Linked DNA regions of Mytilus edulis. The protein of the gene in region 2 purifies or fractionates together with the protein of the main gene of each other region. This does not show direct contact. Links are inferred from orthologs where the notes say so. Each region holds a gene or a part of one and is shown on either strand. Other genes may lie near its edges.

What was found.
Region 1: the proteins of clusterin-associated protein 1-like (region 2) and intraflagellar transport protein 57 homolog purify together in Homo sapiens (affinity purification with mass spectrometry; 4 studies listed by BioGRID and IntAct, counting the BioPlex papers as one, with this or other methods). This does not show direct contact. The link is inferred for Mytilus edulis from reciprocal best matches to the Homo sapiens genes CLUAP1 and IFT57.
Region 3: the proteins of clusterin-associated protein 1-like (region 2) and intraflagellar transport protein 27 homolog purify together in Homo sapiens (affinity purification with mass spectrometry; 3 studies listed by BioGRID and IntAct, with this or other methods). This does not show direct contact. The link is inferred for Mytilus edulis from reciprocal best matches to the Homo sapiens genes CLUAP1 and IFT27.
Region 4: the proteins of clusterin-associated protein 1-like (region 2) and intraflagellar transport protein 46 homolog purify together in Homo sapiens (affinity purification with mass spectrometry; 3 studies listed by BioGRID and IntAct, with this or other methods). This does not show direct contact. The link is inferred for Mytilus edulis from reciprocal best matches to the Homo sapiens genes CLUAP1 and IFT46.

The regions. Positions count from the first base shown.
Region 1 is NC_092348.1:50,745,429-50,752,593, forward strand, and holds the start of intraflagellar transport protein 57 homolog, read right to left. Parts: upstream 3,021-7,165; 5' UTR 2,751-3,020; intron 406-2,750; 5' UTR 402-405; coding exon 241-401; intron 1-240. Other genes in the region: tetratricopeptide repeat protein 12-like, read left to right, coding at 3,314-3,383. UniProt on the Homo sapiens protein: Required for the formation of cilia. Plays an indirect role in sonic hedgehog signaling, cilia being required for all activity of the hedgehog pathway.
Region 2 is NC_092352.1:6,024,716-6,031,759, forward strand, and holds the start of clusterin-associated protein 1-like, read left to right. Parts: upstream 1-4,035; 5' UTR 4,036-4,143; coding exon 4,144-4,165; intron 4,166-7,044. UniProt on the Homo sapiens protein: Required for cilia biogenesis. Appears to function within the multiple intraflagellar transport complex B (IFT-B). Key regulator of hedgehog signaling.
Region 3 is NC_092352.1:29,288,545-29,295,440, forward strand, and holds the start of intraflagellar transport protein 27 homolog, read right to left. Parts: upstream 3,024-6,896; 5' UTR 2,907-3,023; coding exon 2,870-2,906; intron 503-2,869; coding exon 423-502; intron 1-422. UniProt on the Homo sapiens protein: Small GTPase-like component of the intraflagellar transport (IFT) complex B that promotes the exit of the BBSome complex from cilia via its interaction with ARL6. Not involved in entry of the BBSome complex into cilium. Prevents aggregation of GTP-free ARL6.
Region 4 is NC_092348.1:89,657,124-89,664,903, forward strand, and holds the start of intraflagellar transport protein 46 homolog, read right to left. Parts: upstream 3,025-7,780; 5' UTR 2,952-3,024; coding exon 2,919-2,951; exon of another isoform or gene 2,888-2,918; intron 575-2,887; coding exon 469-574; intron 40-468; coding exon 7-39; intron 1-6. UniProt on the Homo sapiens protein: Forms part of a complex involved in intraflagellar transport (IFT), the bi-directional movement of particles required for the assembly, maintenance and functioning of primary cilia. May play a role in chondrocyte maturation and skeletogenesis.

The DNA.
Region 1 (7,165 bases), on a different chromosome or scaffold from region 2:
AATAACTATGAGGAGTTGATTAATAATTTTGACCATGTTTGAAATATGTAGATCTTGTCTTGCTGATCATTTTTGTTGAACATTTGTTATTTCTCTTTGTTTTAAAATTTTCAAAACTGATAAAAATTTGGTTAACTTATACATGTAATGGTCATTATAGTGGATCTCATTCTGCAATTCAATCTTGTTACATATATTTTTAGAACATAAACTCAAATTGCATTATTATGAATATTTTACCTTGATATTGGTTTAAGGTTTCTTTCTCTACAAAAATTTTGTTCATAATCCAATAGTCTTAATTTATCAAGAAGATCTTCCATTATAACAAAAGGCATATAAACTAAGCCTGGTCCTCCATCTTCCACATCTTCTCCACGTCTCTTTTCCTCTGCTGACATTTAGCTATAAATAAACAAACTGTAATATATAATTATTATTTACAACATCATATATAACTACGTATAAATAAACTACCGAACTTTATTTGGAGTTTGATTAATGAAGCTATATATATGCTAATTAAAGCAATAACTACATATATGAAGTTTTAAATTACATTACATGTACTAAGCATTTATAATCATGCATGTACATGTATAGTACTTCTGAAGATCGTCATCTCAGAGACAAAAATAAAATCTTGTTAATAGCCATTTATGATCATGATGATAAAAAAATATAAGATTTTAAAAGAATGATGAATTATTAAACTTAGACGTATTGTTCTAAAGAACACCCCAGTTGCGTAAAATGGTTTACATATCAAACAAGATGGCAGCTACTGAAAATTCAACGAACAAATACTTCAAAGTTCAAAGATCAATATTTAAAAAACAATCTGAGAAATCTTTTGAAAAACAGCATTTTGCAATGACAAAATGTATAAAATTTCATAAAAATGATTTTTTGTTAAACATGAACATATGAAGAACATTTCGTAAATTTGAAATGATTTGCTATAAAGTCATGTGAGATCAGTCTGATAATTTGGGAAGCAGGTAAACTCGTACCACCGAAAGCTCGTTCCACGTTAACTCGTACCAAAAAAGTTAACTTGTACCAAAAAAGTTAACTTGTACCAAAAAAGTTAACTCGTACCACTGGGAAGTCTTACCATTCAGAACTCGTACCATTAAAAATATATTAAAAAAAAATATAAATGTTCTATGTTTTTTTTTTGTAAACTTAATAAAAATAAAGTTGAATTACTTGAATTTATACTGGAATTTAATGAAAACTTAGATAAAAATAGCAAATGTTTTTTTAATCTTTTTTTTGTTTTTTAAACTGAGCTTTCAAACTAGTTTTAATCCATAAAAAAAGTAAAAACATTGCTTTAACTGTACCTTAAGTTGAATATCTATATCCAAATTAAATCGCTACGGTTCCTGAGTTTTCAATGACCAAAACTACGAGGTGTTTTTTGCTGTAGCACATGTCAAATTAATCACTGTCATGCAAACGCCTCGTGCAAATAAATTTCGGCCAGAGAATCCCGGGAAAAAAATAAATTCAGTAGTGAAAGTGTTAAAGCTGTAATCCATGATCACAAAGTGAATGCTATGTTTACAATTGTTGAAAGCCATGTGCTTTTTTGGCAGGAAAATTCGGGAACCCCTCAACAGGAAACAGCTATAGTTCATTGTTATTTATCATGTTTATAGACAGTAAGAATTTGCGTCAGCAAGCGACAAGAAGCGACAACAAGAAATTTTTTAGCGACAACAAAAGACAAGAAACTATTTAGCGACAAGAAAACATTTTTTTTTAATTAAAATTAATTATTGCAATAAATATTAAAAGAATATGCAAAAGAAAATAATTTTAGCGACAAGAAAGTTAAAATTGATAGAAAAAAATGAAACATTATTCACATAATATTTTATCATCTATTATGAATAACAGCCAGTATTACGTTTAATTATTGTATTATGAGATTACTTTTCCTTGTGTTTTAGAACATATTATTTATCTTATAATTTATTTTTTCAAACTCTTTTCGTGCAATATATATTAAGCTCACAAAATGAATTATTTGTGCATCATTGTCCTGAAAATATTGACACAAAAAAATAAAAAAAAGAAGCTCAATCTCTTTCTTCTTCACAAATGTTAAATTTCTTCATCTACCAATACACTTATATAAACTTCACAATCTCTTTCTTCCTCACAAATGTTTCATTTCTTTGTCTATCTATATAATAAAACATTTTAATTAGACATATCTGCTCGTATAATTTAAAAAAAAACATTAAATACAAATTTCTTTATATCTAATAAAAAAAAATGTTTTCTTGTCGCTAAATAGTCTTCTTGTCGATTGTTGTCGCTAAAATAATTCTTGTTGTCGCTTCTTGTCGCTTTTTGATGCTTGTCACTTCTTGACGCTTGTTGTCGCTTCTTGACGCTTGTTGTCGCTAATTAATGAGACCCAAAGTAAAGTATATATTCATTATTAAACACCATTCATTCAATTGCATTTAAATAAGTTGGTACGAGTTAGCAGTGGTACGAGTTTGCATTGGTACAAGTTTTTCTTTAGTGGTACGAGTTGACGTTGGTACGAGTTTACAATGGTACGGGATAACTATAATTCGATAATTTGTATAGACATCGTTATAAGTGACCAGTCCCGTTAGTATAAAAAGTCCCTGTAGAGTGGATCAATTTATCAACACTTGATACTTTAAGCAAAATTAAAAGATGTTTCCTAAGGAATAATGTTATAATAATTTCAGGTGACAAACCTGATATACAAATTATGACTGTCAGTCAACCAGTCAGTGTCAAATGTATCACTTGATCAAGAAACCGTACTGTATCCGGTATAAAGTCGTCTGTTCTTTATGTTAAAAGCTAAGAATCGAAAAATGAAAGAGCTTGCGAGATTAATTTCTTTGTGATTTGTTTCCTTTTCTTCAATAACCGCTCAAAAGTTCTTCACCGATTTTTTTCTCTGTCGAGTGTTGTTGTTACCAAAACTATTTATTCTACGTACAACGAAAGCTTTGAATCACATTTAATAAAACGATATTTAAAACACTTATACCACCTCGGCTGATTTTCATTCGTGTATCTTGGCCTTTACCGATCATTATCGAAAAAACAAACGAATTCCACTTGCATTTTATTACGAAGTCCTGCGCCAGCCCGAAAAAACCCAACACAAAACAAGCGTTGATAGATTAAACCACTTGTACTAAAAGATCAATCTAGACTTTCAAGGAAGACATGTACATGTATTAGAAAATAGCGAATGAAGCATTCGTCTTTCAATAATCTATGGTTGTTAATATAAACAAATTCAAAAATGGCGACGAATGATGGTATTGGCACACAGAAAGAAATTGATGATTTTTTAAGCAAGGTTGATGAAATAGGTAAGTGATTGCTTTTTGGTTTAATTTGAAATCTTACCTTATTCAAGGATTTATTAAGGTAGCACAATACAAAGATTTCATATATATCTCCAATTCCCCAGTTTTAAAATGCTGCAACTTTCTTTATAATGCTTGAAAATTTATAAAAGTTTTATCTATGGATAGCTAACAGATTACTCTCTCGAATTAATGCATTGATAGTATTATACAACAATTATTTAATCAATTATAATGTGTCTACAAAATTCTACAAGAAATTTCCACTTTCAATTAAAATTAGCTTGTTCATTGATCCCCCTAGAGGATTGATTTTATCATATGTTTTTTCCAAGAGTCATTATCAACAAAAGGGTGTCTCAGATTTTGGATAGAATGTATAGATCAAATTTTACACCTAATCATACATTATTTACTTTGATGTGGTGAGGATGTTTACACTACATTGTGTAATTACAAATTTATGAGAGAAAGGAATACCATAGTCGATAGCAATAATTTGAGACGCCCTTTTGTAGCTCCTGCTGTGTTGATTAAGATAACGTTAAAATTTCTTGTGTTGCTGTAGAGATGAAAGAGCTAAATTCATTCAAGTAAACTGACAAAAATTTTGCCACTAATTGCAGTGATCGGGAAGGACGTGCGCTCTGCGCCTATAGCGCATATTGACCAGAAATGGCACATAGAGTGACAAATGTAAGCGCCCACGTATTTTTCACATCGTTTCGAAACTTTTAGATATCGTCAAATGGATTTCCGATCGTGTTCCGTGCCGCCATGTGTGTGTACACAACTGTATAATGTTCCTCCAATCATAGGAGCACCTATATATTTTTGGGACGTCTCGGGTGTTTTCCTATGGTAATAGAACCATGCGGTTTAACGTCTCGGGTGTTTTCCTATGGTAATAATAGAACCATGCGGTCTAACTGATGACCCAAAAAACGTAATTAACCATCATTCATGATATAATTTTTTATAAACAACTTTAAATTTGTGAAATTTGGCTATTACAGACGAGATTCAACTCTAATAATAATCTTTAATTTAGTTTAAATTGCTATTATTTTGATTGAAAACCCCCGAAGTCTTTTTATGAATATAGTTTTTGTCTCCATAAAAGGCGCTTAACTGTCCTTGTCATTTTTTGGTCTTTGGCTCGTTTGACATTTTGTTAACATGACTTCAGCGAACTATTGTTTTGTTCTATCAATTAATAGTACTCTCTACTGTTAATCTTGTCATCGTGATGAAGTAATAATAATAATACAAGAAGTGCAGAGGAAGTGCCTGAAATGTCCTTTAATACGGAACGCCTGGAATAAGTATGGTATCGACGAAGACCCAAATTTAATGTTAAAAAAACACTAACCATGAACATGAATAAGCCAAGGCAACAGTACCATTTAAACATTGTAAATACAGGTTATCTTTAATATTGTCCGTTTTGGAAGAAGTTATTGTATATTCATTGAAATTACAGAATCACAGGAACAATATCCATGATATTATTTAAAATCATATAGGTAAGTACCAACACCTCTTTGCCAACAAATAGTGATACTTTTTATACGACCGCAAAATTTGAAAAAATTTTCGTCGTATATTGCTATCACGTTGGCGTCGTCGTCGTCGTCCGAATACTTTTAGTTTTCGCACTCTAACTTTAGTAAAAGTGAATGGAAATCTATGAAATTTTAACACAAGGTTTATGACCACAAAAGGAAGGTTGGTATTGATTTTGGGAGTTTTGGTCCCAACATTTTAGGAATTAGGGGCCAAAAAGGGCCCAAATAAGCATTTTCTTGGTTTTCGCACTATAACTTTAGTTAAAGTTAATAGAAATCTATGAAATTTTGACACAAGGTTTATGACCACAAAAGAACGGTTGGGATTGATTTTGGGAGTTTTGGTTTCAACAGTTTAGGAATTAAGGGCCAAAAAAGGGCCCAAATAAGCATTATTCTTGGTTTTCGCACAATAACTTTAGTTTAAGTAAATAGAAATCAATGAAATTTAAACAAAATGTTAATGACTACAAAAGGAAGGTTGGTATTGATTTTGGGAGTTTAGGTCCCAACAGTTTAGGAATTAGGGGCCAAAAAGGGACCCAAATAAGCATTTTTCTTGGTTTTCCCACCATAACGTTAGTATAAGTAAATAGAAATCTATGAAATTTAGACACAAGGTTTATGACCATAAAAGGAAGGTTGGTATTGATTTTGGGAGTTTTGGTCCCAACAGAATAAGGGGCCCAAAGGGTCCAAAATTAAACTTTGTTTGATTTCATCAAAATTGAATAATTGGGGTTCTTTGATATGCCGAATCTAACTGTCATGACTGTGTATGTAAATTCTTAACTTTTGGTCCCGTTTTCAAATTGGTCTACATTAAGGTCCAAAGGGTCCAAAATTAAACTTAGTTTGATTTTGACAAAAAATGAATCAGTTAGGTTCTTTGATATGCTGAATCTAAAAATGTACTTAGATTCTTGATTATTGGCCCAGTTTTCAAGTTGGTCCAAATCGGGGTCCAAAATTAAACTTTGTTTGATTTCATCAAAAATTGAATAAATGGGGTTCTTTGATATACCAAATCTAACTGTGTATGTAGATTCTTCATTTTTGGTCCTGTTTTCAAATTGGTCTACACTAAAGTCCAAAGGGTCCAAAATTAAACTTAGTCTGATTTTAACAAAAATTGAAATCTTGGGGTTCTTTGATATTCTGAATCCAAAAATGTACTTAGATTTTTTATTATGGGCCCAGTTTTCAAGTTGGTCCAAATCTGATCTAAAATTATTATATTAAGTATTGTGCAATAGCAAGTCTTTTCAATTGCACAATATTGCGCAATGGCAAGAAATATCTAATTGCACAATATTGTGAAATAGCAAATTATTTTTAATTAGAGTTATCTTTCTTTGTCCAGAATAGTAAGCAAGAAATATCTAATTGCAAAATATTGTGCAATAGCAAGATTTTTTTTTAATTGGGGTTATCTTTCTTTGTCCAGAATCAACTTAAATCTTTGTTATATACAATATACAATGTATATTCACTTTTTACTACCAACTGATAAATTAAAATAATCTTTACCATTCAGTGATAACAAGCAGTTTTTTTTTTACATCTTAATATTTTATGATGTATTTAAATGAGTAGTTATTGTTGCAAACTGCATTAGAAATTTTAATTGAGATTAGTTTTGGAATAAGGGAAAGGGGGATGTGATTAAAAAAATTGGGTTCAATTTTTCTCATTTGAAATTTCATAAATAAATAAAGAAAATTTCTTCAAACATTTTTTTGAGAGGATTAATATTCAACAGCATAGTGAATTGATCTAAGAGAAAACAAAAATTTTAAGTTCATTAGAACACATTCATTCTGTGTCAGAAACCTATGCTGTGTCAACTGTTTAATCACAATCCAAATTTAGAGCTGAATCCAGCTTGAATGTTGTGTCCATACTTGCCCCAACCGTTCAGGGTTCAACCTCTGCGGTCGTATAAAGCTACGCCCTGCGGAGCATCTGGTTATTTTTGTACAGAAGTAGCTAGTCAATTCAAATGGCCCACTCATTGGACAACATGGCCCATTATTTTTTAAAATGGCCCATTGAATTTATTTTTGAGGGGCCCTTGGCCCATAGTGAAAAAAACCTTCCAGATCACTGCTAATTGCATAATAATTGATTTTGTTTCTATATATCTATACATGTACATGTATGTTTTATTTTTTTTACTTTTTCACTTTTTTCTTTATTTTCCTGCCAATTGATCTT
Region 2 (7,044 bases):
AAGTCAAGAAGTCGCAACCTAGCGCACTGGTAGCAGTGATGAACAATTGGCAATTTACATTTCAGGTAAAATTCCTGACAGATTTTATGGCTCCTTTAACATCACACTTGGATGAGAAAACAGAGACTGGAATTATCTTTAAATTTCTTGATTATTCATTGATAAAGCAAGATATAAATTGTATACAAGTTACAATGAAAGAGAAAAATATTTCAAGTTTTTTGGTAAATATTCAACAATATCTCAGTTTTCAAACACTTTGACTAAAATTAATTAGGCTTGTTTAATTTTCATAAAATTTTGACAAAATATTTACTTTGACCCTTTGAAAAAAATTAAATTTCAAAAACTGCACACATTTTGGAAAAAATTTCATTAAATATATATATAGCAGTTTGTCAAAAACTAATTTTCATCATTGAAAAGCTTAATATTTCCTTTACTATAGAATGTGATTAAAAAGTTCATCTGTTTTTACAGAGTTATCTCCCTGTAGTGTTATGTACCACCTAAAAGTGCAAATAACCTGCACTAATTCAAAATCATGATTCATTTTTAAACACAATTTTTACTTTGTTTGGTAGTAACAAAATAAACAAATATGTTCTGAAGATTTCCTTAATTATTGAGGGCATAACTTTTCATATTAAACAAACTCATATTTATATCATTCAGCAGAAGTTTTTATGAGGAGAAGTGCTACATTCACATTTGCTAAATCTTATCTATTCGTTGCAAAAAGCAATGCATGAAATTTCTTCCAGTCATACCTTATATTGCTATAGTCATATCAACTAAGACTAAGGGGCAATAACTCAGACTTTCTTAACATTTTTAATTTATGTTTACAAATATAATCGAGTACTTATTGTTTTACAGACCATACAAGAATATACTACAATTTATTCAAAAACAAATTTGTTGATCCTGTACCTTCTGTACCAATTTCAGTAAAAAAAAAATGAAATTAAGTGGTTATTACAAATACTGTTTAAATCAAATTTGCAGAAAAAATATAATAGTTAAATATTGATCTTCTTATAAATTTACACTAAGACATTTTTGAATACCCAGAACATAACATAAATAAAGGTCCCTATGCTTTGGCTGCTCCTTTTTTTTTGCATTTCTAAAAAACCTCAGAGATCACTCATCTATTTATCAGTCAGAAAGGCTTACTCAAGAATGTGTACTAAACCCAAGTAGTGACAGATGCAGACAAATACATTAATTACCTAAAACAGGCTATTAATTGAACTTGGAATTATTTTTAATTATGGAATTTGCTTGATTTCTTGTTATTGAAATTTATAATAAATTCCATGCTTATTCTGTACTGAAATGTTCTGTGCTGCGCGCAACACTTTCTATTACAAAGAAAATAGTATATTTTCAATAGAATGTACTGTGCCGCGCACAACACTATCTAACCAAAACACATTGTATGGAAAGTTTTATTAACCACTCAAAAGATCATAACACCAAATCATTGCAAATAAACATGGAATTCATTAAAAAATTTAAACACAAGAAATTATTCAAATTCCATAATTAAAAATAATTCCAAGTTCAAATAATAGCCTGTTCTAAACACCTTTAGCTATTATCCTATAAATACATAAAAAGTGCATATATATTAATCTAAATCTGTGGATATCTACTTACCATTAAACAGGATCTGTAATTTGCAAACATTTTATTCTTTCTAGCATCACAATGTCCTACAAAAAAAAGATAAAATACTGAAAAAGATGTTATTTTCTCAATCATTATGCCGTTTGTGTAAAACAAGCAACTGTCATATAGACTCTTTATTCTTCACTTGTCTTGTTATCAATGAAAACTATTAACATTTTCAATATCTTATTGAAGCATCACCACTTATATAAAATAAAACATTCTAATACACTTTAATATATACATCATAGTGTATACATTTATTGACATACATAAAACATTCAAAAACCTATATAAAATATAGCATATTATAAAGCTTATAGTAAAATATCATTAGCTTAAATATTAAATCTTTTTTTTTTTCCAGGCAAATCACTGATAACTTTTGGTGCAAAAAGGATTGGGCTAGATGATCTGGATTCTATTGAAGGGTGAAGTTTAGGTCACCAAAGGCTAAAGCAATGACAATGGGGTGAGTTATCTTTATATTCAGAGTCTGACTGCATATTTCACTGTTACTTACATGACTTAGTACCTTAAACTACCTTTACACCTTTATCTTCAGGTCCTCATCTTGAATTGTCGTAATGCGATTTCTTGTCTCATAATAATAATATATTTATATATATTAGACTTATTTAAAAAAAAACTTATTTAGGTGTTCGCAGCTGAACACTTAACACAAATTAAACATATGAATTTATATGGGTTCCAATTTTCACCATTTAATGCAGACTTAAAATTATTCAAAGTCTTTGCCGTCTCAGTTAAATCTGACAGGTTATTCCACTGATCCACAACTCGAATTGAAAAAGTATTTAGTCTGTGTGTCGTCTTACACTGTTTAATTAATAAGTTCTAATAAGTGACCTTTAGTATTATTAGATGGTGCTAAAGTAAATAGGCTCATTTTGTTTATGTGTTACATATTTGTTTTTCGTTCATTTTTCTAAATAAATAAGGCAGTTAGTTTTCTTGTTTGAATTGTTTTACATTGTCATTTTGGGGCCTTTTATAGCTAACTATGCGGTAAGGGCTTTGCTCATTGTTGAAGGCCATACAGTGACCTATAGTTGTTAATTTATGTGTCATTTGGTCTCATGTGAAGAGTTGTCTCATTGGCAATCATACCAAATCTTCTTTTTAATATATACAAATACAAAATAATATTTTTATTGGCACAAACTCATTAAATAAATGGTTAAGACCTATGGCATTACATAATACTATAATAATTGACATGGTAGAATGAAAGGTTCCATGATAACATATCATGCTATAAAGAAAAGTTACATATTGATGTATCATATAAGTTCACTATTTCTTATAATAGACACTCTGATATGAAAGAGGAAGACAGTTTAAGTTATAATGCTGAGCTATTATTAACCAATAGAGATATTTTTTCATCAACGGTAATGTTACGCTGTATTTGAAATAAAACATTTATTTTTATTTTCTAATATTTCTCGGTTTGAGGTAAATCTATTACATTTTAATAAGAAATGTTGTTCATTCTCAATTTCCCCAGAGACAGGACAGTATCTTTCCTCTCTAGGAATATTAAGATGTCTTCCCCTTTCAATACACCTTATCGCTAATCCCGGCTGAACCGGCCGCTTGAACTTTTGACGCATACATCAATCACTTTTCCATTGTGGCGTCAGATATTTTGTTTTGTGACGTCAAATTTTTACGGGAACCTGTGTAATATCCAGTAATGGCGGACAAATAGCGATGAGGTGTATAATTAAAGGATGTGCACTTATGTGTATTTTGCATATTGCTGCTCTATCATTTAAATTGTTTAGTGAATCAAAATATGATGGTCTTTGACCCATTTTGTAGACTTGACGAAAGAAACTGAGCTTAGAAGACTCCTGTATATTTATGTATATCATCCAGTTGATGTCATCTTATGATCTTATCTATCTAACAATTATTTAGTGTTATTGTTGTTAGGGAAGCAAATAAACAGTTTCATGTCATGCAACTCTGTAAATAAAAGTTGTAAAAATCTTAGTTTTACGTCAATTAATAACAGAGGAATTAACTTTACTCTTAAGTCTTTAATACTATGACTGTGTTATCTGTGATTTCCAAATTTCCAACCAAAACGCACTGGTTCTACATGCATACTTTTTACGTTGAAAAAGCAGTGTTTTTTTGACACCAGTTTTATCACGAGAGTTCTAATAAGGGCAATAACTCTTAACTTAATTCGTATTTTGTGATATTTTACAGTATCTAAGACAGTAAAAATTAAATTGAATGTGTATAGAATACGAAAATTGTTTAGAGGATGAAAGGGAGTTATAAAATTTATTTTGATAACAGATTTAGCAAAACTAGACAGGAGTTAACAAAAATGTTTCGCCGGATATTATTACTGCGCATGTCCAAATTCTTTGGCTTTCCTCGCAACAGAACAGAAATTCAAGTTCAGAACATATACAGTCCAGCAATATGTCTTACAGAGATTTAAGAAGTATATTCATTACTGTATTGTCAATTAACTAAACTCCAATATTGTATAACTAGTAAAATAACATCTGTGCTCACAGGATTTTTTTACGAGCTATTTTTTTTCATCATAAATTAGACATAAGTGTTAGACATAATTGACATAGCACTTGTCTCGCAAGAAATATACAATTCTGTCTCAGACTGCATTACTCTTACTCATGAAACTGTACAATCTGACCATATTGCTGTATACTTAAACATACAAAGTGAAGAAAATGTTGAAATAGAAGAAATGGAGGAAACCTGGAACTTGAAAAAAGCAGATTGGAAAAAATGGAAAGAATCAACAAAGGAGAGATTCGAAAATTTTATATTTAATAGAGAGGAAAAGGTACAAGAATTGTATAACAGATTTGAAAAGGAAATTATGGAATGCATGGAAGAGTCAATTCCAAAAATTGAGAAAAAAAAGTTCTTTGCTCATAGGCACCCAGTTTGGTGGGATGACGCCGTAAAAGATAGTAAAAAAAGCCTTAATCAAGCACAACGTAAATTTAAAGTTAAAAGTACTCCGAATAATTTTGAAAATCTTAAACAAGCAGAAATTAATTTCAACAAAGTAAAGGATTTGGCCCAAGAGGAATGGGGAAACAACTTAGCAGAAAAGCTTTCAAAAGCAGCTAATGTCAAGGACAAATGGAGTGTATTTAGAAAAATGACAAAGAAGCAAAATAATAACATGGTACTTCCATTTGTTGATGGAAATGGAAACGTAACATTTAAAGAAGAAATAAAATGTGAAGAACTAGAAACAACTTTCTTCAAGGGAAAACACTTAAATCCCAGTTCCTTTAATGCAAAATTTTATAAAGAAATAATGGACAAATATCATTCAATCTCAAATGATGAAGAACAACACTTAGAGGATGACAAGGATATTAATATCAACTTTGCCATAGAACAAGATGAGCTGGCTGGTGCAGTTTACAGACTAAAAAATGAAACTTGTCCAGGACCTGATAATTACTTTTCATTACTATTTATTAATGGAGATGATAATCTGTATAGCACTTTATTATATATAATGAATAAATCATGGGATGAGGGTTCCTTACCAAAATCATGGAAACAAGCAAATGTCAAGTTCATCAAAAAAATTGGTAAACCAAACTACAATAATCCCTCATCATATCGTCCAATTAGCTTAACAAGCATACTAGGTAAACTAATGGAAAGAATAGTAACATCAAGGTTAGAAGGTTATGTAGAGTCAAAATTTATATTAGATAAAGAACAAGAAGGTTTTCGACATTTCCGCTCCACCGACAATGCTTTATTATCATTTGTTCAAAACATCTTTAATGGATTTAATAAAGATGAAAGTACTATTGCATTAATGATTGACCTAGAAAAAGCCTATGATAGTGTTTGGAGAGAAGGACTTTTAACAAAACTACATGGATATGGAATTAAAGGTAAAATCTGGAAATGGATAGAGAATTTTTTACAAAACAGAGAAGCAAGATGTAATATAAACAAGCATCAGGGACAATGGTTTAAAACTCAAATTGGGCTTCCACAAGGATCAGTAATATCCCCCTTACTTTTCAACATCTTTATTATTGATATTTTTGCTAAAATTTCCTCTAACAAATGTAAATTTGCTGATGATGGGACAATCTGGAAAACAGGCAAAGACAAAGATGAATTAGTGAAGGAGTTACAAAAAGATATCAACTCTATCCATGAATGGTCAACAAAATGGAGAATAAACCTCAGTATAGAAAAAACAGAATTTTGTGTATTTTCCAGAAATGGTATGACAAAGGAGAACATCAAGATAATGTTACAAGGAAAGGAATTAAAATATAATCCTAACCCCAAAATTTTAGGCCTTACTTTAGATGAAAAATGTAATTTCAATAAACACATAGACACTGTTGAGCAAAAAGCACAAAAATCTTTAGGGATAATCAGAAACATCAAGGGAATAGCAAAGGTATCTACAAAAATTTTAATACAGATATATCAAAGTATAGTGCTGTCTACAATGTTATATGCTAGCAGTGTATGGCAAATCAACAACAACACGCATATAGATAAATTAAATGCTATTCAGAGAAAAGGATTAGCCTTATGTCTCAACCAACCAGCAACAGCTAGTATAGAAGCCTTGGAAGTAGTAGCAGGAATAGTACCACTGGACCTCAAAAGAGAAGAAGCTGGTATAAGACAAATTGCAAAAATAAAATCATATAAAATCACTATCCCTATTAAACAAATTTTTGAAGATTGGAAAAATATAAATGAACCTGAAAAGATAATCTCACCAATTGGAAAAATGGTATTACAGTCTGAAGACATGAAGAGGTCAACAGATATTGATTCTGATTATATAGAGTCTCAATTTGAATTCCGAGGGTTAGCAGCCTCAAAATCACCACCAGAGTATTGGAAAAATCTCGGAAGTTCAAAGACTAGATCAGAGGAACAAGCATTTCAGGGAAAGACTATCATTTTGAAAAAAATACAGCAACTTAAAAAGAATACAACATTAGCTTTCACTGATGGCTCCTGCAAAGGAAACCCAGGTCCATGCGGGGCTGGGGCAGCTATTTTAATATCAAACAGCACAGAACATGTGGAGTTAACACAGCCAGTTTCCAATAGAGGATCTATTTTATTAGGTGAATTAGTAGCTATCAAGCTGGTAATAGATTTTCTTATAATTCCAAACAACAGAAAAAACACTGAATCCATCAAAATTTTCTCAGACAGCCAATCAGCAATTGGAATTTTGACTTTAAATTGGAAATCAGATAATTACGGCAAAACTATTCATGATATTAAAATCGGTATATTGGCACTAAAATCAGAAGGAATCATTGTTTCCATTGAATG
Region 3 (6,896 bases), about 23 Mb from region 2:
CATACCACATTTGTAAATTTATGCTTATTGATAATTTGGTGATTTTCTTTGTCTTAAACAAGATAAATAATATACATGTATCATTTTTAATTATCCATATACATGTATGTATACTGTCATGACTGTAGTGTACAAAGGATTGGTATGGAAATATGGTCACCTCAACTTCTATTCAGCAGTGAAAATTTGCAAAGGTGACAAGCAAATGTTCTATTTCAATTCCATGACTATGTACAAAACAAGATATTATTTAACCCTGTAATGTTTGAAATTTCGGTAAAACTACTAAATAACAGATTTTCTAATTAATTTGCTACAACTGAAGTGATGTGTATGGATTAATGTGTTTATATTTTGGATAATGCATGAAATTTTAAATTAATTTACTGGATAAGTTCCAGCCTAACAAATTATAAACTTACTACTGTATAATTCTTAGGAAAGTGTGATCCATCGCTGTGAAAAACTTGGCAAATGGAGCTCTTTCCTACAGAAGAATCACCTGAAAAAAAGTATGTGTATGAGATATTTGTCAAATTGATAAATATTTAAAACTTGTGCTCAGTTTCATCTATGTACTATTTATATACTAGTTACAAGTTAACTATCTAAATGAACGAATCCAAAGGATGAGTTTGTTTAACAAGAGGCTCTAAAGAGCCTGTGTCGCTCACCTTGGTTTATGTGCATATTAAACAAGGGACACAGATGGATTCATGGCAAAATTGTGTTTTGGTGTTGGTGATGTGTTTGTAGATCTTACTTTACTGAACAATCTTGCTGCTTACAATTATCTTTATCGATAATGAAATTAGCCCAGAATGTAACAGTGGAAAATATTTTGTAAAATAAATTACAAAAATTTACAAATATTTATGAAAATTGTAAAAAATTGACTATAAAGGGCAATAACTCCTTATGAGGTCAATTGACCACTTTTGTCATGTTGACTTATTTGTAGCTCTAACTTTGCTGTATACTATTGCTGTTACAGTTTATCTCTATCTATAATCATGATAATGATATTTAAAATAATAACCAAAAGCTTCAAAATTTTCTGAAAAATTACCAATTCAGGGGCAGCAACCCAATAACAAGTTGCCCGATTGGTGCGAAAATATCAGGGCCGATAGATCTTAACCTCATAAACAATTTTATCCACACCATCTTTGCTCTAAATGCTTTGGTTTCAGAGATATGAGCCAAAAACTGCATTTTACCCTTTGTAGCCATGTCGCCCATCTTGGTTGGTTTTAAAGACAAACATTATGGTTGAACATACGATTACATAAATGTAAGAATACTGAATAAAATATATGGTCTACTTGTTGTTTAAATAAAGGTTCCATATTTAAAGCAAAACAATATGAAAGTCTGCTCATTTGAAATCCTAAGTGTAGACTGCCCGAACCTGGTAAGTGACGTCATACTTATAGTTCCTAGGGATGAGCCCAGCAAGGCCAGATGTCGGGCACGTACAAGAAGCAGGAAGTCCCAACAAGAATAATTACATGACTAGTCTCAGGAGAAAGAGAAACGGAACTTTAAGTAATACTAATATTAATTTTCCCAAATAAATAAAATAAACAAGTAAACAAAGTGACTACCATTACACTTACAAGACATCATAATTATTCTGTCTAAAACAAAAGTCAGACTATGATCAAACGACAACGGCCGCATTGGTATCCTACCGTAGTCTAAAGTCGTTCATCTTGTCAGTTCGTTAGGTATTTGTGTTTGAACTTAACACACAGGGAAACACCGCATTGACGTCACTATGCTACTTCCGGCGTAGAAAAACAGTGCAGAATACGTTTTTTCTGCCTTTTGAATAAAAAAAACATTTCTTAGGTAAGTTTTCATTGTTGTTCTCAATTATTGCAAAAAAATGCCAATTTTCTAATGCCAGTTTCAATCCCGACTTCCGAATGTCTAAAAACATTCTAGAACTTCACAAAATCCCACTTCCGGCCTCCATTGCTTTGTGTACATTCCATTCAGCGTCATCAATCTTGTGGCAGGCAATACAGGTCAAGCAAATCGTATTTTTAGGAATTTTAAAATGACATGCTCCTTACGTCTATCACAATTTTCCCGCGAAAAAATCCCAATCAAAATGAAAGGAAAACTACACGAAAAAAACGATGTCCATGCCATAATTTTGTACAGGAATATAGAGTTGGTTAATAAAAAACAATTTACATTTATTTTTCATAAAATTTTCTTTTTATTCATTATAAAAAGATGGATATTCTGACCATCATAGCTGTAGGTAAATATTCATTCAAAATTCCCTTGATGTCAAAAGAGATGGCAAAAAAAGAGATTTCCTGTTAAATAAAACCTTAAATTATTGCAAACTATTTTGAAGCAATATCCCACAAAGAAATAACGTAATTGCCGTAGACTGAAAAATCCCCTAATTGACAGTAGAGCAATTTGATTGGGTATAACGAATTGACATCACATGATTTTGATGCCATTGAAATTTGAATGTAAACAAACAAGGTCAGAAGGTTCAGTATGGGACAGCATCGTACATTTAGTTACTGACAAACAATTATGAGTTACCAAGCTTGACAATGCATGGTAATAAAAAATGAAAGCTAAGTCTACAGAAAAAATAAGAACAAAATAGCCTTAGAATAACGACTTATCAACACACCTGGATACAGTCCATCAAACATGTCGAAAGCATGTAGACCATTATGCATACTTAGTCAGTAAATCTTCATGGACATCATGACATGATCAGGTACATGTACATGACATATGACATGTAGAATATATATCTTTAAAAGTAAAATAAGGGCATTGTTGTATTGAAATTATACTTTTTTGCATAAATGGTGGACTCTCAACTTACCAACGATAATACATTTTGCTCTTAAACAAGTTGGCATGCTGTATTTTGATGGTAATGTTGTTATCAAAATACTAATAGTTCAATGTTTTGGTAAATGGCAAGGAATGTACGAATAGTTTGTATTGGACTTTTTGATTGGATCATTCGTCCTCAGTTGACCAATCACAAAGCTTGTTCTTCAAAAGCACTTGTTCACTTAACCGGAAATCAACATCAAAATACTCGCTGCTGGATAACTCGGACTAAAACAAAGTCGGACTATAACAAAATCGGACTATAACTAACTCGGACTATAACAAACTCGGCCTACCATTATTCATATGCAGAAATATATTGAACCAACTCGGACTACGATTAGAAGATTGTTTTTTTTTTTACTGTAATAAAAAAAAATCTTATAATATATTAAAATTATATACAAATTTATGAGATTATAATGAATATTTATGAAAAAAAAAGATCGTATATAAAAATGATTAATATTTGTTACATCAGTTGAATTAGATATGTTTAAATGAGGGTAATTAACTTATACTTGAAATATTATTGTGATTTATGATGTTTATTGACAAAAGAAATTTTAATGATTGGCGTGTGTTCGTGTTTTTATTGTGTTTAATCCTTGGTGTTTATGATTAGTAAATAAACAAAGACAAATTTGATTGACAGTGAATGGCTTCTTAACAATTTCACTAATCTGTAATGGATTCAGCAATTGAAAAGCAATTATATTCAAATGGTCACATCAAACAGATACAATGTTTTTAGAAAGGCAAGCCGAGGCAAACATTTATTATACATGTATCCAAAAATAGATTTGGAGTAAAATTGAAAAAAACAACAGAGATTTCTTTGATCTTACCAAATACTTCTATAAAATAACATGATAAAAAAATCCATTATCATTTTCAACATGGGTACCGACCACTGCGTCGACAAGGCCGTAACTACCCTTGAGGCAAGTGAAGCAATTGCCTCACTAAAATTTCGACACTGATCTTTTTTTTTTTATACATATATATAAATATAATAGTTATTTGTTGTTCTGTCTCAACCTTAATTTCTATAACTTGTCATCATTCCTTTTAAACTATTCTTCCTTGATATAACTCAGCATCTCAACGGGTGATGTTTCTCAATTACATTAACCTAGTAACAATAATCATCATGGATCTTTAGTTATAACAGGCTCTTGCAGAAAAAGGAAAAGCGACACTGAAGGTAAAGAAGGAATAATTCTAGTAAACTAGTGTTTTTGTGAACAGAGTCTAAGTATTGCATATAACTTCATTAGAACAATAAAAAAACGATAAGTAGACTGACAAATAAAGTACTGGTCTTCGGAAGGGGGCAGTCCTGTCTGCGAATTCATTTCTCCGTTTCACCAACTTTTGACAAATCAAGTACTGGGCATCGCAAGGGGGCAGTCCTGTCTGCGTATTCATTTCACGAACTTTAAACTTTCTCTTTACAGATAAATGAAATATAAATAATATGAAACATGAATGCATGGATTAGTTTTTATCCATGTTTCTTTAACCTTGAAAATTGAAAGAATATCCCATATTCCAATTTGATATTATTGAGGAATGATAGAACCTTAAACACAGGATTTTGTCTTTACTTATTCTGGACAAAAGACCAAAATGACAAAAACATTAACAACTATAGGTCTGGAATATCTTTCAGACCAGCATCAGGACCAATAATGATGTTGAAGGTATGTATTTTCTATTTTTATTTAACATAAGAATTTCATTTTCGTATCAAACTAATGGTATTATTATAGTGTAAAGAATATTATGAAATTAATATCTATGTAATCACATGACGTTACCAACAAGGATTACTGCAATATAAATTATATAGATATAGGAGGTTATGGTACGATTGCCAATGAGAGAACCCCAAGCAAGTCACAATTTATAGAGGTTAAACAATATAGTTATATATATATTAATAATAAATCATGTTGGTTTTTTTTGCTGTGATGAGGCAAATAGCTTATATATGTATGACAATACATCATTTCTTATAATTCAATTCTATTTAAGGTTGGCACACAAGAATCAACTCTGACATCGGGAAAGCTAATGCCGCCTTCTACATCTTAGTACCAGCACTTCATCGTGAAGCCAAGCTTGTGTCTCTTACAGTCCACTTAGTTTCTGAAGAACAGGTCCTCAGGAACCAACGCACACGCTACAAGGAGCTGGAAGGTCGTCTTCATCAGCTATGGGACCAGTACACAGAAGGTGATATCACAGCATCCCGTCTACTTCGTGATTGTGGCAACATCTACGGTCCGTCCAATGACTAGCTGTTAATTGCTCCTGCCGATGTTTATACTCGTCTTGCCTTGACAATAACATTCATTTTTGCATGTTATCTCAGATATGACTCAGAATTCTGTATGTGCTATGTATGTTTTGTATGTGCTATGTGTGTTTTAAATGTGCTATGTATGCTTTAAGTGTGCTTTGACAATGAACATTTATATCTGCATGCTTTCAGTCTTATAGATAATGACAAAATACCTTTGACTTTAAAATGTGCTTGTGTTTTATATATGCCTCATATTTTTCGTAAGAAATATTAGAGATTATTGAATGACGAAATCATTGTTATGTTTTAATTGTTTGTTGACATGAACATCTACTGAAATAAAATTTGTAAACCCTAGTTTTCTTTATTCTTAAAAATAGTATTACATTGTACAGATAAATCACACCAAGAGACCACCATACAAAATATGATCAGAAACCAGAAATGCTACAATTCACTGAATTGTCTTACAATAATTAACATAAGATTTGTAATAATAACAAAACAAAATTGAAGTCCGGTTATAGCAAATACAAGACAAGACACATTTAATTGGATATTTAGTTCCCAATTTCGTGTAATAACAGGTACTTGGGTGATTAGATAGGTGTCAACAGTACATGTGCCAGTTGTTTGTTTAACCTATGGTGATTAAAAAGGTGAAACTACAAAAATGTATTTATTGACTTCGATATTCCCAAAGCACAAAGAGTAATGAATGCTAATTTGAGGAACATAGTCCGCACGATTGGTCAAGACAAACTAGAAATACGAGGCTCCAGAATTCAAGTGAAACATTATGAAGGACAGGCTAGTGGAATGCGGAACTTTGACAATAGGGAGAAACGGAACAATTTCAACCGTATTGACCAGGGAGAGTACGAAAATAACAGTAGAAATAGACATCAGTATAATGTACCCAGTGATTTTCAGCAACGAAGCGGTAGTGAGTCACGACGAAATATATATCCCGATAGCCGCAGGCGTATAAAACAACATTAGTGGAAATGCGGGTTCTGGAATGTAAGAGGCTGGAACACAGATAGTGGCTCTGTCAATTTTTATTTGCGAGTTTCCTGCTTGGAACTTACAAACATAGACATATTAGGGGTCGCCGAGACTCATTTGGCTGGAGAGAGCAAATTATCAGTAACAGGATATACGTGGTTTGGTCAAAACAGAAAGCGGCTTCATGTTCGAGCAAGAACAGGCTCTGGTGGAATCGGATTCCTTGTGCGAAATGAAATAATGAAAAATTTTCATGTTGTAATATGCGATGATTCGTTTGAAGGAATACTGTGGATAAAACTACAAGATAAATTAAATAAAGCTGATGTGCTTTACTCATGTGTTTGTTATCTACCACCAATAAATTCTACCAGAACATGCGATGCAAATGAGTACTTTGATATGCTCATCAGCCAGATTCACATATACGGCAAGGACGCTTTTTTCTACATATGTGGTGATTTTAATGGTAGATGTTCTGAAATGGAGGATTTTATTCCCGGTATCGATATACTCCCGGAACGGAAAGTTTTGGATTTCACCGCTAATGCATATGGGGAAAATTTGTGCGATTTCTGCATCAATGCAAACTGTTGCATCTTGAATGGACGAAATTCTAAAAAGGATAACTTTACCTATGTATCTACTCAGGGTTCATCAGTGGTAGATTATTGTCTAGTACCGTATGAAGCAA
Region 4 (7,780 bases), on a different chromosome or scaffold from region 2:
ACATACCAGGCATGCCAGGGATTCCTAGTAGTTTACCTCCTTTGATAGCATTAGAGAGAGAATGTTCAAAATATCAAAAATATACAATAATATACAGAAATATACAGAATATATACTGCAAATTCAGAAGTTATCGTGAAGTTTTAATTGTTGCGAAAAATGTGACAGAGTTGTAAACGTAATAATTTAAACTTGCATTTTGAACTATTTCATAATATGAATGAAACAGATTTTCCTGAAAAAAAATCTTAAAAAATTAAAATTGCATTTATGTCTAAAATGACAAAATTGCAATACTAAATGCATGCAATAATTTCTGAATTTACAGAAGTTGGAAACCTTCAAATATCTAGTAGCAAACATTTGTAAACCTCTATGTGAAAATGATAAGAGAATGGATGTACATGTATGCTGTTTCATAGACATTATATGTCATTATCTATTAAATGTTTTTAAAAGAGATCATACCAGAAGGGTGGTGTACTCGTGGAGTTGGTGAGTATGTGCTTGCAACTTCTTCACCGTCAGGAACCTCCAATGCCTCGTCGTATGGTTGATTCTGAAAATGTTTGGCCTGAAAATCAAAAAATATATAAATTCTAGTTTCGAACATTAAAATATTTGTGACAGCTGTGTGATTGGTCCAAACCGACAATCATTTTAATTTAATAGATTAGATAACTTAAACATTATGTATGACCAACCAAGAGACATATCAAATAAGGCAGCAACATTACAAACTATTGAAATGTTTAACTAAGTATCGACTGGAACTTCTCTTATGTGTGGCCTGCAAAGTACATTGTAATTGGGTACAATATAGTACCATCAAGAAGTCTGTCAGAACTCAGTGTCACATTTGTACTTCTTTTCTTTGCCATACTGTTTAAGTATGTAATATACCAAGCTGTGAATATTGTCCTCCTACAACTGAAGCACTGTTTTACATTTGGATGATACAGGATTTTTAAATACATGTCTACACAATAACTGGATATACCCCCCCCCCCCTTTTTATCTACAATGTTTTGGTACATGTATTTTAATAATGATAACACAGTGACAAGATGTACATGTATATTCATAAACCAAGAATATCTGTCTTTTTCATTAGCTAGGGGTTCCAGTACCTACCTGACCTAAGGGTAAGGCTTCAGTGTAGGCATGCATAGCAAGGAGTACGTAAGTTTAATTAAAGGTAGCATAGGGTTTGTATTAGGGTTAGCACTAGGTTAGTTTCGAACTTCCGTTTGAGACTTGTTTTTGAACATTAGGCCAAATAAAATAGTATATGTGGTTCCAGTTACATCTCGTCATCTGAAAAAAAGTTAGGATAGGTAGGTAGGGATTTTTTTTAATTTTATGTTGGTTTTTTTTACATTGAGCCTATGGGCAGATGGGAGCATCATTCTGACTTTAACAGTGCTTAATAAAATATGACAATAAAATCTTTAGGGTAGGCTAATTTCAAGACAAAAAAGTAGGGAAGGTAGGGTTACTGGAACCACACATATATTTTTATTTGGCCCTTGTAGAAGTTTGTTATACCAAACCTAATGTTCATCCTACATAGTATTGTTGATAATTTCATCCTGATGTTATAGGCTCTAGCATAGTGATCCATCACTGCACTTTTGACAATTCAGTGCTGATATGAATATGCATTAAAGCAAGGACATTGAGTCTCTCACTTGTAATGGTTGATCGCAAAAAAAGTCTTGTGCTCTTAATAAGACTGTTTGGTAGTATTCTGTTTTTTTCGTGAGATTTGCTTTCACCATTTGAATACTTTTACCCATTACTGAAAATGTTTCTTATCAAAATGTTTAAGGTTGTCAGGTAGTGGCGAACAAAACACAAATTTTGCAGTAAATTCCTTCTGGTAAACATGGTAAAGTTGAATAAACAGCCACACATATTTGAAGCATCATTTCTTGTTTAGGAAAAGAAAAGGAACTAGCTAGATTCAAGTGTTTATTTAAAATGCTATACATTTGAGCAATAGGTACAGATGTGAAAATGAAGTTTGCAATATCCTTAGATTTAGCAGGTGTCTCTCAGTCTGACAGCAGTACGTTGCAGAATTAAAAACAAAATAATAAAAAAATTCTTATGGATATAATAGAGTGTGAAAGTATTTTTATTCAAATCAAGCTAACAGAAAAGATCGTTTTGATTATAATAAACCAACAAAGTAATAAAATATAGGGAGAGCTGCCTTTGATAGTCCTAATTAAATCCTTTGATCCTCTAATAATATCCCCCAGGCAAATGTAATTATGGCGTGTTTTTATTTAACTGAGTGTAGCTGTGAGCCAAAATTTGTTCCTGTTCCTATTAAGAGCTCACTGGATATTCAATATTTAGTAAAGATAACCATATGCATAAAACAAGAAATGCTGAAGTGATTGCATGCTGTCTTTTTACAAATTTATTTTTAAAGATTTTCAAGTGGGGGAGAGGGGTCCAGAACACCCTAAATCTGTTAGTGAAAAGATATTACAGGGAGAGAAAAAAACAGGGGTAACAGACTCTGCTCGAGCAGACACAGGGCGAAATGTACCTCAGAAATCATCATGAATTTGTCAAATGAATGAAAATTGTATGAACATGATGAATGCGAGACCTTGAATATATGAATTGCAATATCAAATATGGGAAAACGAGATGACGCTGTTGGCAATTCATTGAAATAAGTGGATATGGTTCGCTGCTGACAATATCATGATATGAGAATGATATAAATTTGATAAAGCGCAAGATGTTTACATTAGCAACATATGATTTCTTTCAATAAAAACATGTAATTATGTGCTGAAATCTATCAGAAGGTAGAGGAAATGTTATAAACATCTAAAGCATATATATTGCTTTAATATAATCTCACTAATATTTGGAAAATAGCTCAATTATTTTACGTTTTCACGCTCTTCGTCGTAGTCGTCCTCCATCGAGTTTGGAATGCAAGTGCATTATGGGATCGTCTGGTCTGGTCTAGCTAACAACCAAATGAGTAATCTAAATAAAGACCAAAATATGAACCTTTCAGAAAAGTTTCTTTTTAATTAGATTAATTAATTACGACTTGGGTATCCCTAGTAGACAATAGACAATACTTTATTAATAAACCTCATAGGTGTGTAAGAGGACATCAGATATACACGTATACACATTTTTATACTCAATACATTCACACTAAACATAATAATGCTAACGTTACATACATGGTTAAATATAGCAAAATGTCAAATTACAAACTACCATAACATTCAACTCAAAAAGACTAACAGAAATCTCAAGTATATCAATCATTAGAGAAACAGATTCCACCACTGTAATTTAATTGTCTCGAGTGAAGAAATATTGTAATACACTTGTTGCAGTTGTGGCATCTATATTTCTAAGACTCTTCCATCTTGCAATAGTATTTTTAAAAAAAAGACTTTTTTTCTACAAATTACACAAGTATTCCCCATTCTAACCTAAAAGTCAAATCGAAAGAGTTGGTAATATTTTGTTTAAAAAAAACGGAATGCCATATTATGGTCAACGTAATAGATACAAGTATCTTGTCTTTGTAATAGTACGGTGACAATTAAGGTAAATTTAAAAATTTAATGCACCGAAATACCTCACGGCTAATTTTGGTCTTATTTTGAAGATAAATATAATACCCTTCTATTAAGGCATGTCGTAGAATGCCAAAGTGGTGCAGATTTTTGATAATTACGATTAAAGGTAAAAAGGGGGGATTTTAAAAAATCTACATTTTTGGACATTTTGGACAATTTCTCGGTATTCGCTCATGATAACTGAGAAAAATTTCAATGGAAGCAAGCTCTAGGGGGGCTGTACAAATGCAGCTTCTAATATTTATGCCAGATTGACATAGATTAGTGATGTTCACCACCCAAGCCAACATGGAAGAAAATGATAAAGATTATCTTTATTTACAAAAATTATCGATAAAAAATTTTTATATTTAATATTCAGCTTTTCAATAATATATTACAATATATAAAGATATTTTTGGGAAAGTTTTGTTAAGATAATATAAAGAATAAAGGAGAAGTTAGAACTGTAAAGTTTACACCCGGTCCATGATTCAATGAAAAAATGATCAAATTCATTATTCCCTTTTTAAATAAAAAAATAATGTTGAAATTATCAAAATAGTCTTGATGCATAAATGTCAGCATGAACACGATAGTATATGAAGTTTTATTGATGACAATAGGTCAACCAGTGCAAGAGTAATATCATTTTGAAAATGCATGACGATGTGCATCCCCCTTTTTTAAAAAACAACTCAAACAACAAAAAATCAAGAGTAGACTTTTGACTTTTACCGTTTTAAAGCACTATATATATCACACAAACACGATTTACAGAAATTTTGATACAAATGAAGATATTTTTGTATATTTCAATAACACTTGACATTATTATGCACGTCCGATGATTTGAAGTGGTTACGAAAAACTAACACAAAAAAGTACATGTTATACTTTTAAATTATTCGATAAAGTCTCCTGTTGGTTTACAAGCCTACCAACCACGTCAAGGTCGGAGACCACTGGCAGGTTTTTTTTATAGTTTTTTTTAATTTATTTATTTTTCTATTTTTTTTTTTAATTTTATTTTCTCAACAATTTTCAACAGCGAAAAGGCTTCTAGCATCTAACACATGAAATATTGGGCATTGGGGTTCATACTAATCATCATCCGCGTCGTTGCAATCTTCTAAAACAGTCTGATGAGTAAGCTGGTTTCTACAATCATCACTGCCCTGACAACCACAAATGCTTGTGCATGACAAGTGTTGTTCATAACATACACATGATTTACCACAAATAGATTTGCCTTTGCATGTGCAAACAAGGTCTTGTAAAAAGTCAGAAGACATTGGCCCCTCAAAATATAGTGGAACTATCGAGCTATTCCCCATTGTCCATCCATATTCAAGAGGTGATCTAGGTGGTGGTTTTGCAATATGGGCATTCATCCAGACGTACACTTGTAGGGATACTCTAAATATGTGTTGTCTGAAAGATGCTTTTGAAGGAGGAAGTCTCACTAAGGAAGCATCCTTAGATAGCGCTGACTTCACTCGCAGTTTATTTAGATCACCATGTACAGATTGAGCCTTGACTTTGGGGTCATATAGATCAGCGATAAATTGTCTTCCCACTGTTACAGATGTTTTGATATCAGAACTAGCTAGATTGATCAAACTTTGATATCTTAATGGGTGTTGTTTTAATGTCTTGTATACTGTCTTTTTGCCTATTCCAAAGAAAGAAGACGTCGTGTCGCATCCCGTTAGAGCGTGATTAGCTGGTAATGTACTAGAAACCACTGGTCCAATGGCATTGTATATATCGTGTACAGGTATAAACCGTCGGGCGTCTTTGGTTGAAGAAACGCATCCTGTCTGGAACCACAATTCATCAATGTTTGTCATTTTGGGAAAATACCTTATACACAGAAGTAAAACATCAGTGTCCGATGATTTTATTACAATGCGACCTCTGGAATTGCTTTTTATTAGCTGTTCATTAGCAAACAGAGACTGTAGAATGATTCTTGTATCTGCCTCTTCCTGTGTACTGAACAACTGAATACAATCAGTAACAGTTCCGGCATAAATTTGTTTAACAGTCTCTGGGTTTTGAAAACATCCAGCTAAGAATAGTTCGTCTTGCTCATTCAAATCGAATTCATTGAAGTGTGCGAGCGCATAGTCACCCAAAAATCTTAATAATGCTTGTTTATTTTCCGATGCACATAGAAATTTCTTCCAATCTGTAATTGACCTACCTTCAATGACCTGAAAAATCTTACCACCATTTGAAATAGACCGCCTCATTCTTTCTGCTGATTTTGTAGAATGTTCTACGTCATACCGATCAAACACGTCTACGACACACCCGAAATTTTCAAAACTTGCTATTAAAGTTCTAAAGTAGTCCTTGGCCAAATCTCCAAAACTGTTGTACCTTTTTACAAAAAGACTTTGAACAATACCCATGCCATCTCTGATAAGGATTGATCGATTCTTATCATACGGTGGAAGTGTGAAAGAGGTGCACACCTCTTTTTCCAATAGATGAATGAAATCTGCTTTGCATGATTTCCTCATCAACCCATCGTCATGGAAAATGGATGTTGGTATTCTACCGATGGGGTAAGCCAAAACCTTTTCAACGGTAACTTCGTCTCGGACATTTGCAAGGGCTAAAGCTCTTCGAAAGACAAGCTCGGGATTAATATGAGTTTTTACAATATCGCCAGATCGACATTTTAGATTGCATGGCTTTGCCATGTCGTCAAAGGTTTTGAGTGCAGATTTAGAAATTGGGGAAAAGAAGTCGCGAGTTTCGTTGTCTTTGAAACAACCATCTACAAAAGATTTCATCGATTTTTGTCCTCGATCTACAGAATTCAGCAGCGAATCTTCAACTTCTCTACTGGCATGCAAACCTGTTGCAATGTTTATTAGCGATTTGGGACATTCTTCAATGTCGAATATCTGTCATATTATTTTGAACATGCTCAATAAGATCCTTCACTTGCTGCTCATCGCGTTTCATCGCTGTCGGTCTACTCTCTTCGTAATTTTCGTCAGAGCCAATAGCAATTTCAGACCTTTTCCTCATTTCAGAAGCGTACCTTGCAAGAATGTGCCTAGTAAAAGTCCAACGAAGAAGAGCAGATTTATGTGTAGTTAATCCGACTATACCGCCGTTTCCCTTCGAATCTTTGATTATAGTCTTCTCTGTTGCCATATCACTCCATATGCCATTGAAAACACCAGGCTTTTGTCTGACTGCAAACTTTCCGGACATGAAAGCTGAATAAGTTTCTTCTGGGAGATTCAGCATGTCAATTAAATAAGTTGGTGTCCACCTAGCATAATTTGTCTTGTTTGCAATGAAGAAATATGGCAACATAGAAGACACGGATTGGAGGTGTAAAGTCCAATCTCCATCACGTTCTGCTTTGACATTCATTAGCATAACTTCAACGGCTCGTAAAAACATTTCCCAAAATTTAAAAGTTGGAGATGCTCTATAAGAAAACTCTCTGAACTCCGAAATCAACGGGGATAACTGTTCCCGGAAAAGAATTAAAAATTCAGAGAGATCTAATACCTTTGTATTAAGGTCACTGAATGCATTATGACAAGAAAGCATTGTTTGCCAGAACTTTTCGTCTATGTTAGCAATTTTTCGTTGGTTTGAACACCATTGAAAAAATTTCTTGAACCATAGTGCCATCACAGTTTCATATGCTAATGTGTAAGCTCTAACACCGCGATTAAACTGCTTGCCTTGAAGAATCTGATCTACAGTACATCCTGCATATGCACCCGAATCGACCAATAAATCCCGAAGCCCAGCTAATGCCCATATTTTGCCTATTGCTGAAAGGTAACACGAAACCATGTGAAACCCACCTAATCTAACAACGTGTGGGTGAAAAATCTGAGGCATAGGCCACTTTACTTGTTGAGCTATGGCATAAAGCTGTTGGTCGAAGGTCTGTACTGGGTTATTCTGACCTGCGGCCTTTGACATTTCTAGGCATTTCACCATTGTCGTATACACTGTCGCCATGTCAGCAGGTTTTGCGTCTATGATTGGAGGATATGCAACGACGACATGAATGTTTTTTCGGTCGGAAAGTCTTTTATGGAAGCCTGTCCAAAAAGGTATTATTTGTTTTTTATCATTTTGAAACCAAGGTAGTTCAGCAATGTCGCGTGTAAGTGATCGGA